Arabidopsis thaliana: one gene and its partners. The protein of the gene in region 1 interacts with the protein of each later gene in a pairwise test. Each region holds a gene or a part of one and is shown in the gene's direction. Other genes may lie near its edges. The genes, in order: TT1, TT2 and PAP1.

Evidence for each region.
Region 2: the proteins of TT1 (region 1) and TT2 interact in a two-hybrid assay, tested with the Arabidopsis thaliana proteins (one study listed by BioGRID).
Region 3: the proteins of TT1 (region 1) and PAP1 interact in a two-hybrid assay, tested with the Arabidopsis thaliana proteins (one study listed by BioGRID).

What each region holds. Positions count from the first base shown.
Region 1 is NC_003070.9:12,761,998-12,766,198, forward strand, and holds TT1 (C2H2 and C2HC zinc fingers superfamily protein), read left to right. Parts: upstream 1-1,904; 5' UTR 1,905-1,955; coding exon 1,956-2,438; intron 2,439-3,063; coding exon 3,064-3,492; 3' UTR 3,493-3,689; downstream 3,690-4,201. UniProt on the Arabidopsis thaliana protein: May act as a transcriptional regulator involved in the differentiation of young endothelium. Altered differentiation results in incompetence for pigments synthesis and the lack of condensed tannins in the seed coat.
Region 2 is NC_003076.8:13,724,991-13,728,553, forward strand, and holds TT2 (Duplicated homeodomain-like superfamily protein), read left to right. Parts: upstream 1-1,752; 5' UTR 1,753-1,816; coding exon of another isoform or gene 1,817-1,880; coding exon 1,881-2,158; intron 2,159-2,231; coding exon 2,232-2,739; 3' UTR 2,740-2,971; downstream 2,972-3,563. UniProt on the Arabidopsis thaliana protein: Transcription activator, when associated with BHLH2/EGL3/MYC146, BHLH12/MYC1, or BHLH42/TT8. Involved in the control of flavonoid late metabolism in developing siliques.
Region 3 is NC_003070.9:21,232,980-21,237,207, reverse strand, and holds PAP1 (production of anthocyanin pigment 1), read left to right. Parts: upstream 1-1,915; 5' UTR 1,916-2,118; coding exon 2,119-2,239; intron 2,240-2,779; coding exon 2,780-2,909; intron 2,910-2,998; coding exon 2,999-3,494; 3' UTR 3,495-3,653; downstream 3,654-4,228.

The sequences.
Region 1 (4,201 bases):
ATATTATTAATCTAATACTTAAATACTGGTTAAATCACCAATTTATTATTCTTAATACCACATATTAAACATATCTAATCTTTACTGATTCAATAAAGATTGTGTGAAACAAAAGTTGTCTTGCAAAGAATTAATATTGTACATAGATTTTGTTCTGGTAGCTAGTACTAAAATCCATTAATAAAACTAATACGGTATCTTTATTGATCATGTAACATGAATTATTCATGTATATACAATTGACCCTATTAATTTTGCATAAATTTCAACTTGGCAAATTCATTGATTTTGTAAACCGTTAATTCTGCTAATTTCACAATTCTCTTGTACGCTAAAAATTTATGCGTATTATCGTATTGATATGCAAATATCGAAGAATTTATAGTTTTATATAGTAGAAATGAAGGTATTTGCAAAACGAGTTCTAACGTGAAATAACACTAATTAATTAATTAGAGTTTGAACCTACAGAGATTCGACTTGATCCACTTGAAAAATTCATTTACTCTACTAATTTGGTTACTCCATGGACCATGATTATGCTATTCTGTAGGACTCTAACAACTGACTTGACACAATCTCTTTCGTGAACAATAATGGGTTATATTTTTTTGTTTTGTTTTTTCGGACAAATTAGCCACGTTGCTTTAGACCATTTTGTAGTTCTTATCTTGAATCAAAGTCTCAGCTAAAAAAAAAAAAAAAACGCTTAAATCCACTAGCTAGACTACGACTACGTTGGTTAAATGTTTTTTTTTAAATACAATACATTGAAGTTAAATATTTGAATAAAGAAAATCTAATCAGCATGTATACAGTATATTAGAAGTAATACTTGATCAGAAAAATAACATACAATAATAAAATAATAAAAAAATTATGTTAGTTTTTGGGAATATTATAATTCTACTTTCAATCAAAATAACTAAAAGAAATAAAATCTTCACACATAGTGGTAATAATTGGCTAGTATGAATATTGAATTGTGGAGACCCGGCATAATATTTGACTAGGCAGAAATTATTGATATGTACTAAGTTAATAACCTTGCAAAGAAATTCTTTTAGTGAAACGTGTACATTTGTAAAAACAGATTTAACACTAAATCTTGACTTGTATATACTATTAATTATTCCTTTTCTCTTATTGGTATGTCAAATCTAGTGTTTACAAAACCAGAGGTGTTGACCGTTAGAGAGAGAATTAAACAACTTACATACATACAAAACATAACCCAAAAAAATAATAATAATGCATCTTCCATAATAATAATAATATGAATTCAACATTAGCATTCATTTCATTACCCAAATCCGAAATTTCATTGATTAAAATTAATACAATTGTATTGTAGAAAAGCTAAAAGCTTACGTAAATGCCAAAGATAGTCAAAACCCTGCAATGACAAAGTTGCCAAAATCTTGAAGAGTTTGGTCCACAAAATTTAAGGTTCTTGTTTTTCCACTCTATTTATAGGCAAAGAGATGAGACAGAGAAGATTAAATTACTTCTTAACAAAGGTTGTTTTCACTCAACCACATGCATTCTCAAGTGTCTGCTCCTCACATTCCCCAAGATTCCCATTTACTCACTTCTCTATTTGGTACGTAAGTCACACAATATGATTCTAAATTATTTTACACATTATTCGTTTTGTTCACACTTGCTTTCGACTTTCGTAAACCTATATAGTTCATCCAATATTATTCGGTAAATTCGATATTTATCAATCTTTATTCTCGTAGGTTAAAGGAGACGATTGATACGTGGGATCTACTTACGTATCTGCATGATTATTAGTTATAAAAGTTATTGCAAACATTAAATTACTTTCATAGAGAGCAATCATTATATTAAGGTAATTTAATTTTATTATATATAGTCAAGATTTAAAGGAATAAAGAAAAGATTCTCAAAACATTTCATCTCTCTCCAACAACTATTCACCACATTCAATGGAGTCACCACCACTATACGAGATATCCTCAAGCTCTTCTTCTGAAAAACCTAGACACCATTTCCAATCCCTTGATCTCTTCCCTAACCTCAACCAAAACTCTTGTATCAACAATACCCTAATTGAGCCTTTACCGCTTATTGATCGCATAAACTTGAACTCAAACCTAGACCTAAACCCTAATCCCTTGTATGCGGAAGAAGGAGAGCAAGAGGAGGAAGAAGAAGAAGAAGAAGACCGTGAAGTGGACGTGGACTTACACATCGGCCTTCCTGGTTTTGGTAAACCAAGCAATGATGCTAAACAGCTGAAGAAGAGAAATGGGAAGGAGATCGCCACATATGACGCCGGAAAAGGCATCGAGAATGAACTTTCCGGAAAGGCATACTGGATCCCGGCGCCGGAGCAAATTCTCATAGGGTTCACTCATTTTTCTTGCCATGTATGCTTCAAGACATTCAATCGCTACAACAATCTTCAGGTACGAGTCAATATATCTCATGCGCATTGCTTTTCCATGCACAAACATATATAATAAATTCATCTTATAGAGTTATATCTCCGGATCTAATGTTATGAGTTTATTCATATCTATATATATACATATATATATATATATATATATATATATATATATAATTCTGAATTTATTTGATAAAAGCTAAACAACCAGGATTTAATAGATGATTTACCTTTGGATCTTATTATACAATTTACAAATTTAATCAAGTCAACTAATCGTGATTTAATTACTTTTTTTTGTAAGAAGAGTTGGTAATATATATTTTTATGGTAATGTTTTCATGAAAATAATTCATCACAACTCTTTACATTTATTTAATGCCTTAACTAAAGCTGAATTCGAAAAAGTTGAAATAAATTATCTACTAAGATTTGATTGACTATAGTTTTTAATAGTTTTCTTTTCTCATATATATATTATCATAGTAGTCAAAACATTTGATTCAAACTTAAATACACAGATTTCTTGAATGAAACATTACTATGCTCGGTCAATAATATGATTTTAAGGAACCATGTTATTTCATTTTATTACTTAAGGAAACCTTTTTGTTTTTTGTTGACTCTAAATATTATGAATATAGATGCACATGTGGGGACATGGTTCACAATACAGGAAAGGACCGGAGTCACTGAAAGGCACACAGCCACGAGCCATGTTAGGGATCCCTTGTTACTGCTGCGTTGAAGGGTGCAGGAACCACATTGACCATCCTCGTTCCAAGCCACTGAAAGACTTTAGGACGCTCCAAACGCACTACAAACGCAAACACGGACACAAACCCTTCTCGTGTCGCCTTTGCGGTAAGCTTTTGGCTGTCAAGGGCGATTGGCGAACACATGAGAAGAATTGTGGAAAACGTTGGGTTTGCGTTTGCGGTTCTGATTTTAAACACAAACGTTCTCTTAAGGACCATGTTAAGGCGTTTGGGTCTGGTCATGGGCCTTATCCAACTGGTTTGTTTGAAGAGCAGGCTTCTAATTCATCTGTCTCCGAGACTTTGTTTTTTTAAATTTGGGCATCTTTTTCTTTCGCTTATGAAATATCTATTTACTTTAGAAAAATAATAATGTGGTATCTAATTGTTCCAAATTAGGAACACGAAGTGTACCATTATATTTTTCATCACTACAAATGTTATTCAGAGAAAATTATCATTAATTGTCTCGTTAAAGATAGAATAGGGTTTGAATTTATCAAATATTAAAAACAGATCAATACAAAATTGACCATGCATATGCACTTGAATATTCTGATTTCTTTATGATGTAATCTCATTCAAGAAAAGCTTTGGGAAAATTTCAACAAAAAAAAGAAATATTTAATATTTGTCAATAATAAAACCCCTGAATTTTTTTTTTCTAATTGGAAAATCAACTGATCTCATTGTGTATTTTTATTCTTGAATTTAATTGAGAAATCAACTAATCTATTGCTATTTTTGTTTGTATTTATCTTGTTTAATTTAACATTTAACATTTTAAATATTTTTTTTGATGGTACATTGTATGATTGTTAGTTTGTTATTGAATTGCAGTTGTTTTTCTTAAATTAAAAATTTGAGTTTGTAAATAAGTTTTGCAACAGTTGTTGATGATGATTCCAAGTCATATTTTTATTCTTTTAAATTTAAGACCAAATATTTGATATATATGTTGGTCGAAAGACCTAATATATAGCCAATGTATGTATTTGGGTTGATCTAGCTAGTCTGGTTAAAT
Region 2 (3,563 bases), on another chromosome or scaffold:
TTTAAATTATTTTAAATATTCAAAAATACAAAATATTTTTTTTTTGGTTTTGTATATTCAAAAACATATTCTATATTTCAATGCATTAAATCTTAGAAAAATTAGTTTTACAAAAAAAATCAAAATTTAACTAAAAATAGATTAAAAATCATTATTAAATTTTAAATTTTAAATGAAAACAGGAAAATATTATTATAGTTAATTAAGTAAGGAAATTGCTTATTTTTATAGTGTCAATTAAAACACTTCAATTATTTCTATACAATATTTTTTATAAAAAAAAATCAACCACAAAAATTATTAGAATAAAACGTAATACAAATGAATTTTATTTTAAAAACTTTTTTGCTGAAATCAACATTGTTAGATTTTCTATCTTTTTATATATTAAAAAGAAAAATTGCAAGTTTTTGGTTGTTTATGTGTTACTACGAGAACTTTTCTTAATAATATTTGTTACAAAAGGAACTACATAGTATACAAAAATAAATTTAGACTAAAGAGTATATAAAAAATATTATAATTTTCTTTACCATGCAAACTTTAGATTAAAGAGTCATATACTCAATTTCATATTGCTTCCTAATACAATTGAGTATATGACTCTTTAATCTAAAGTTTAATAATGATTTTTATTCTAGTTTTAGTTTAGTTTTGAAATTAAAAATAAAACTAATTATTATAAGATTTAATGCATTGAAAATACAAATATATTTTTACGAAATATAGAATATGTTTTTGAATATATAAAAGAAAAAAAATATTTTCGTATTTTTGAGTATTAAAAATAATTTTAAATTTTTTTGTTGGTCAACGCCGGTCAACACTAGTCAAAGCCTGAGTCAACTGACCGGTTTACCGGAATTGTATGTCAATGGTGTTAACCACATGACGTCCTATACTTCATATATGTGGTCATGTAATACATCTACTTCGTGTCTACTTCGTGTAGCTGGATATACAATGTATAGTAGGTATGTGTGACCATGTATTCTCTTATACTTTGTTTACCTAGCAATCTTTTTTTTAAATTAAAATAAATATGCGGTTTAGATATGAAACTACCCAACAAATTTAACATTTTAAACGTTCATAACGTAAAACGACGTCGTTATAGACACATATTTTCCATGTGTCTGCTGACTTATCATCTTCACGGAGTTGACTAACACCCGTTACTTTGACTCTGAATTTTGTACTTTTTCTTAAGTTGAGGTATGAAATTCAAATAAATATGCGGTTAATATATGAAAATACCCAACAAATTTTTTTGGATACGAAAATACACTCAGAAAATAGTACGGGTATGAAAATACCCTTTTCCCGTATTTGATACATGTCTAATTCGGTTCAAATAAACCGAATATGAAAATTTTCAGTTTTATTTCGGAAGTTAAATAAATCTAGATAACCGACCTGAAAAACCCGAGTCCCGACCGAACCGAACCGAAATTAAATTCGGTTTAATTCGGAAGCATTTCCAAAAACCGAAATTCCCTAAAACCGAATAACCCGACCCGATTAAACCGATTTGCCGAACTCCCAGGCCTAAATTCACACTTGGCTTAGAAAAACTCTTTGTAGATGTTAAAATTCGGTAAAATTAACCTCACCAAAGCTAATTATTACCAGGTGAAGAAAGCATTAAAATTTCAAAGTGTGTATGACAGAGGTTTTAGAAAGCGACTGATGTACGGACATATCAACAACTCCCCTATAAAGATACTCAGCTAAACACAAAAACAGAATCTATTCTCAACACAACACTAAAGACAATTGTACCAACCACACAACCACAAGAGAGAGAAAAGTGAGAATGGGAAAGAGAGCAACTACTAGTGTGAGGAGAGAAGAGTTAAACAGAGGAGCTTGGACTGATCATGAAGACAAGATCCTTAGAGATTACATCACCACTCACGGCGAAGGCAAATGGAGCACTCTCCCTAACCAAGCTGGTACTAATCTCTCTATCTACCGATCCGTCTTTATATCTTCTACGTACAATAATTGTCTTGGCACACATAAAAGGTCTCAAGAGGTGTGGCAAAAGCTGTAGACTTCGGTGGAAGAACTACCTAAGACCGGGGATAAAGCGCGGTAACATCTCATCTGATGAAGAAGAACTCATAATCCGTCTCCATAATCTTCTTGGAAACAGGTTTTTCACTAACCACATAGAATTTTCTTTTTGTAGTAAAGTTATTTGTTATGTGACATTATAATTAAAGCAGATGGTCGTTGATAGCTGGGAGGCTTCCAGGCCGAACAGACAATGAAATAAAGAATCATTGGAACTCAAACCTCCGCAAAAGACTTCCCAAAACTCAAACCAAGCAACCAAAACGTATAAAACATTCGACGAACAACGAGAATAATGTATGTGTTATACGTACAAAGGCGATTAGGTGCTCAAAGACTCTTCTCTTCTCGGATCTCTCTCTTCAGAAGAAGAGTAGTACTAGTCCACTACCTCTGAAAGAACAAGAGATGGATCAAGGTGGATCTTCGTTGATGGGAGATCTCGAATTCGATTTCGATAGGATCCATTCGGAGTTTCACTTCCCGGATTTGATGGATTTTGATGGTTTGGACTGTGGAAACGTTACATCTCTTGTTTCATCTAACGAGATTTTGGGAGAGTTGGTTCCTGCTCAAGGTAATCTCGATCTCAATAGACCTTTCACTTCTTGTCATCATCGTGGCGACGATGAAGATTGGCTCCGAGACTTCACTTGTTGAGCCTATATTGCAAAAACCTACGTTAATACATATTTCTCTATACGGACAAAAGTATATCTGTATTTGTCTGAACGCTTCTAATTACTAACTTACTAAGGAGACCAAGAAATACAAATAATTATACGATCCACATGTTATAGAAATGGGTTTTGTCTTTAACTAATAATTTTTTATTATTGCAAATACGTACGACATAAATATTTTTGATAGATTTTGTAAATTTATGTATGAGCAAATGATAGAGCTTTTATTATAACCTAACCACCGCTTAACCACCCAACCTATAAATTCTACTTGTGAATTATTGGTAATACGAATCAACTTTACAATTTTGTTATTACGAAATATTACTAGAATATACATGTATAGTCTATTTATAGGCAGGCATAGTCATTAATGTAAGGAATTTGTTCTTCTCATTTTTGGAATCATCGTATAAATAAATACTAGATGCATGGTTGTTCTAAGTCATGTGCCAGTACATATTTGAAAAACAAAACAAAGGAATATTCCGGATTTTCCCCCTATCTCCTGTATTTTATGGGTACAATTTAGAAGTTTATGTATTTTAAGGATACTAAAAAATCATGTATTTTATTGGACATCAAAAAGTGTTTGTATTTTAAAGGAAACTAGATTCTGACCCGCACATACGTGCGGGGTTTCATATTTTAAGAAATGTATTAGAATACATTTTTAGTGAAAGATATTGTAGTGTATAAATTATAATGTGCATAGAAAAGTGTATAGTGTTATTTATGATATAATAACTAAATTTTTTTTATTAATTTATATTATTTATATTTCATTTGTGTTTTGCATAG
Region 3 (4,228 bases), 8.5 Mb from region 1:
AGATTAAAAATATTTTCACTATTAATTTTCTCTTAAAAATATTAATAATTTTTTGAAATCAAAAATTATAGTTATTTTATTTTAATAAACGAGAAACACTACAAAAAAAGTTAACTGCATTTAGATAATTTAATAAACTAAAATATCCACATAAAAATTTCAAATTTATCAAAAATAAAACATCAATTTGTTTTTTGTTTTAAATTAAAGATTTGCTATTGATTGCATAAGGAAGAAAACTTTACAAAGCCGAAAGGCCTAAGAGCCCAACACACACAAAAGAAGAACCATTTTGGATCAAGGGAACCGACCATGGGTATTAGAAGTAGTGGTATAAAGCCCATCATATCCCAACACATAACCCACGAATGTTTAATATTAAAAGTTTGTTGTTCGGCTCATGATTAGCGATGATCATACAGAAAGTTTGTATCTAATACGTGCCTTGAATTTTATGTGTACAACAAACAAATTAAATTATTCAAAACCATAAATTATAAAAAATAATTACAGAAATAAAACTATATTAAGAGCGAGCCTACCATCCGGTGTGCAACTTTCTAGTTTATATACAGTGGCGGATCAACGTTAATGAGGCAAATTGGTTCAAATTCATCTAAATAAGACTAGAGTTCACAGGTTCGATTCCTCCTTATAACAATTTGCTCCCACCAATTTTTTTTGCTGGGTCCGCCCCTGGTTATATATATACTTCTACACCAGGTTTGGGTTCGAGTCCACACATAATTAACGACACAATTATAGTGCACGATAGAATGAACTAAAACAGCTAGAGCGTAGAGGGCTCATTGTCTATAAAAATCCTTCGTTAACTTGCAAGAAACCAAGAGTAGAGGGCTCACACTTAAGTCTCCTACATGACGATTATATTTCGTCAAAAAGAAGCAATTAGTTAGCTTTACAGCATATCATTTCGCCTAGGTTTTCCATCGTACACGTAAATTTTCATGCAAGAAAGCAGAAATATACAAATACTAACTTTTAGATACTGAAAAATGAGATCAGATTCTAGTCAAATTTTGTTAAAAGTATTTATAAATTTAAATTGCAAGTCCTCAAAAAGTACGACTAAAAATGCTTTTCTTAGAAAATGATAATAAACCGGCGTTTTATATATAAGTGTTTCTTTTTCTCTTCTGTCCAGAAGTAAATCATTAAGAACCAATATGGCTTTTCTTAAACTAATCTCCGTGATAATCAAATCTTTGATCATTCTCCACACAATCCCATCAACAACATCGATCTCACTAGATGCACCAACAATGATTCTAATCGGCACTACTAACTATAGAGATAGTTGTCCCAAAAAAAAAAAAAAAAACTAACTAGAGAGATAAATCATATTCAATACATGTACTATTTCTACTATACTTAAGAAAATTTGTATACCACTATCTTAACTCTTAACACTGAACATACTATACACTATCTTAACTCCCAACTCTTGTAAAAGAATATCTAATTTTAAGAAAAGACTTCAAATGCTTGTTAAATTTCTAGTGAAGATGCACATTCTAAAAACTGGTAAAATGGTAAGAAAAAAATATATAAAAAAATAGCCTTATTAAAATTTATATCTCCTATTTCTCTATCCAAACTACACGGATGAAGCTTATTGTTATTCATCCACCCTTTTTCTCAATTCTGTCCTATTTCTTGTGCATGAAACTTCTCCATCTTGTAATCGGATAAATCATACCCAAATTTTTTCTTTCTGAAAACATATATACCCGAACATTAATTACTATCGTCCTTTCTCCTAATTTTGTTAAGAAACATGTTTGTTTGTTTTTAGTACTGAAAAAGGATGGAGATACTTGCTAGATCCTATGAACCTTTTCTCTCTAGGACAAATCAGTAACCAAACAATAACTTAGCAAATTAAGCACGACAGCTAATACATAAAATGTGGATATCAAACATGCACGTCACTTCCTTTTTTCCGTCACGTGTTTTTATAAATTTTCTCACATACTCACACTCTCTATAAGACCTCCAATCATTTGTGAAACCATACTATATATACCCTCTTCCTTGACCAATTTACTTATACCTTTTACAATTTGTTTATATATTTTACGTATCTATCTTTGTTCCATGGAGGGTTCGTCCAAAGGGCTGCGAAAAGGTGCTTGGACTACTGAAGAAGATAGTCTCTTGAGACAGTGCATTAATAAGTATGGAGAAGGCAAATGGCACCAAGTTCCTGTAAGAGCTGGTATGTTATTTACGAACACACACACACTAACCGACACACACACACACAAATATGAATATCTATAATCACTACCAATAGTCTTCGTTCTCTCTATTTTCTATTCAGAAAATTGATTAATACCCGGTATTAAAAAAAAAAAAAAAAATTTGTTTAAATGAGTACAAATCATTGTTACAACTTCTTTATGCTGTTTTTACATGCTATTAAAGGTTGTGCATGAAAATTTCTTTTGCTGTTCGTATTTGTTTTACACCTAAACGAAGATTTTTACTTAAAATTAAAGAAAAAAAATTATACTAATTTTAGTTACGTTGCGTATTGCTAGCTTCTCCTATAAAGTCGTTCAAATTTTTACACGCTTGTCTTCTTGTAAATGAATTCGTGGGAAAATTTTGTATGAACACGTGTTTCTGTGTTGGAACAGTTCTTTATTTTTATTGGTGTGCATAGATTCTTCCTGATAAAATATATAGAAGGAGACAAATAAAAAACAGTCTTAGTATGTAGGTATAATCAAAGAATCAATTATTGGTTTTGTAGGGCTAAACCGGTGCAGGAAAAGTTGTAGATTAAGATGGTTGAACTATTTGAAGCCAAGTATCAAGAGAGGAAAACTTAGCTCTGATGAAGTCGATCTTCTTCTTCGCCTTCATAGGCTTCTAGGGAATAGGTATTAATTGTTACCTCGATACTACTTAACTCGGAGAGTCGTCATAAGTTAATACTAATAACATATGTATATTTTCTTACAATTGTTAGGTGGTCTTTAATTGCTGGAAGATTACCTGGTCGGACCGCAAATGACGTCAAGAATTACTGGAACACTCATCTGAGTAAGAAACATGAACCGTGTTGTAAGATAAAGATGAAAAAGAGAGACATTACGCCCATTCCTACAACACCGGCACTAAAAAACAATGTTTATAAGCCTCGACCTCGATCCTTCACAGTTAACAACGACTGCAACCATCTCAATGCCCCACCAAAAGTTGACGTTAATCCTCCATGCCTTGGACTTAACATCAATAATGTTTGTGACAATAGTATCATATACAACAAAGATAAGAAGAAAGACCAACTAGTGAATAATTTGATTGATGGAGATAATATGTGGTTAGAGAAATTCCTAGAGGAAAGCCAAGAGGTAGATATTTTGGTTCCTGAAGCGACGACAACAGAAAAGGGGGACACCTTGGCTTTTGACGTTGATCAACTTTGGAGTCTTTTCGATGGAGAGACTGTGAAATTTGATTAGTGTTTCGAACATTTGTTTGCGTTTGTGTATAGGTTTGCTTTCACCTTTTAATTTGTGTGTTTTGATAAATAAGCTAATAGTTTTTAGCATTTTAATGAAATATTTCAAGTTTCCGTGTTTACATTTTGAAGAAAATAAAATATTAATATATTCTGAAGATTTTTGTTTTTTTTTGGTTATCTACATGACAACAGTAAAAATAGAAAAAAAATCTTATTTTTTGAAAAAGGTATGTATCCGGTGTTTAGAATACTTTCCGAAATCAAACCGCCTATATTTCTAATCACTATGTAAAATTGTAAACCAATTGGGTTAAAACTCAACTAACAAACTTTCTAAATAAATGTCATTTTTGTTTTCAAATATGATTGAACTCGGATTTAGGAGTTTTACCCTTCAGTACCAAACCTTCTCTACCGACCATGTATGGTTGGGCAAATGTCATGTTTTACAATGTTTAGATTACTAAACACTTTGGTTGAGAAGGCAATGCTTTATTTATATATTCTGAAGTCATGTTTTAGTGTTATTTTTATTTATTTTTAAATGCATAGATTGTTAACGTGCAGATTCTCATATGGGCTTAGTTTCTGGATTTTGATTATCAAAACCGTATTCCACTCTTAAATGATTACGACAAAAAAATCAATACTACTAACAAACCTATTTCCCAGTTATTAATTAGTCAATAACAATTGTCAAATTTAATAACGTACTTGCTAGTAATAAAGTTT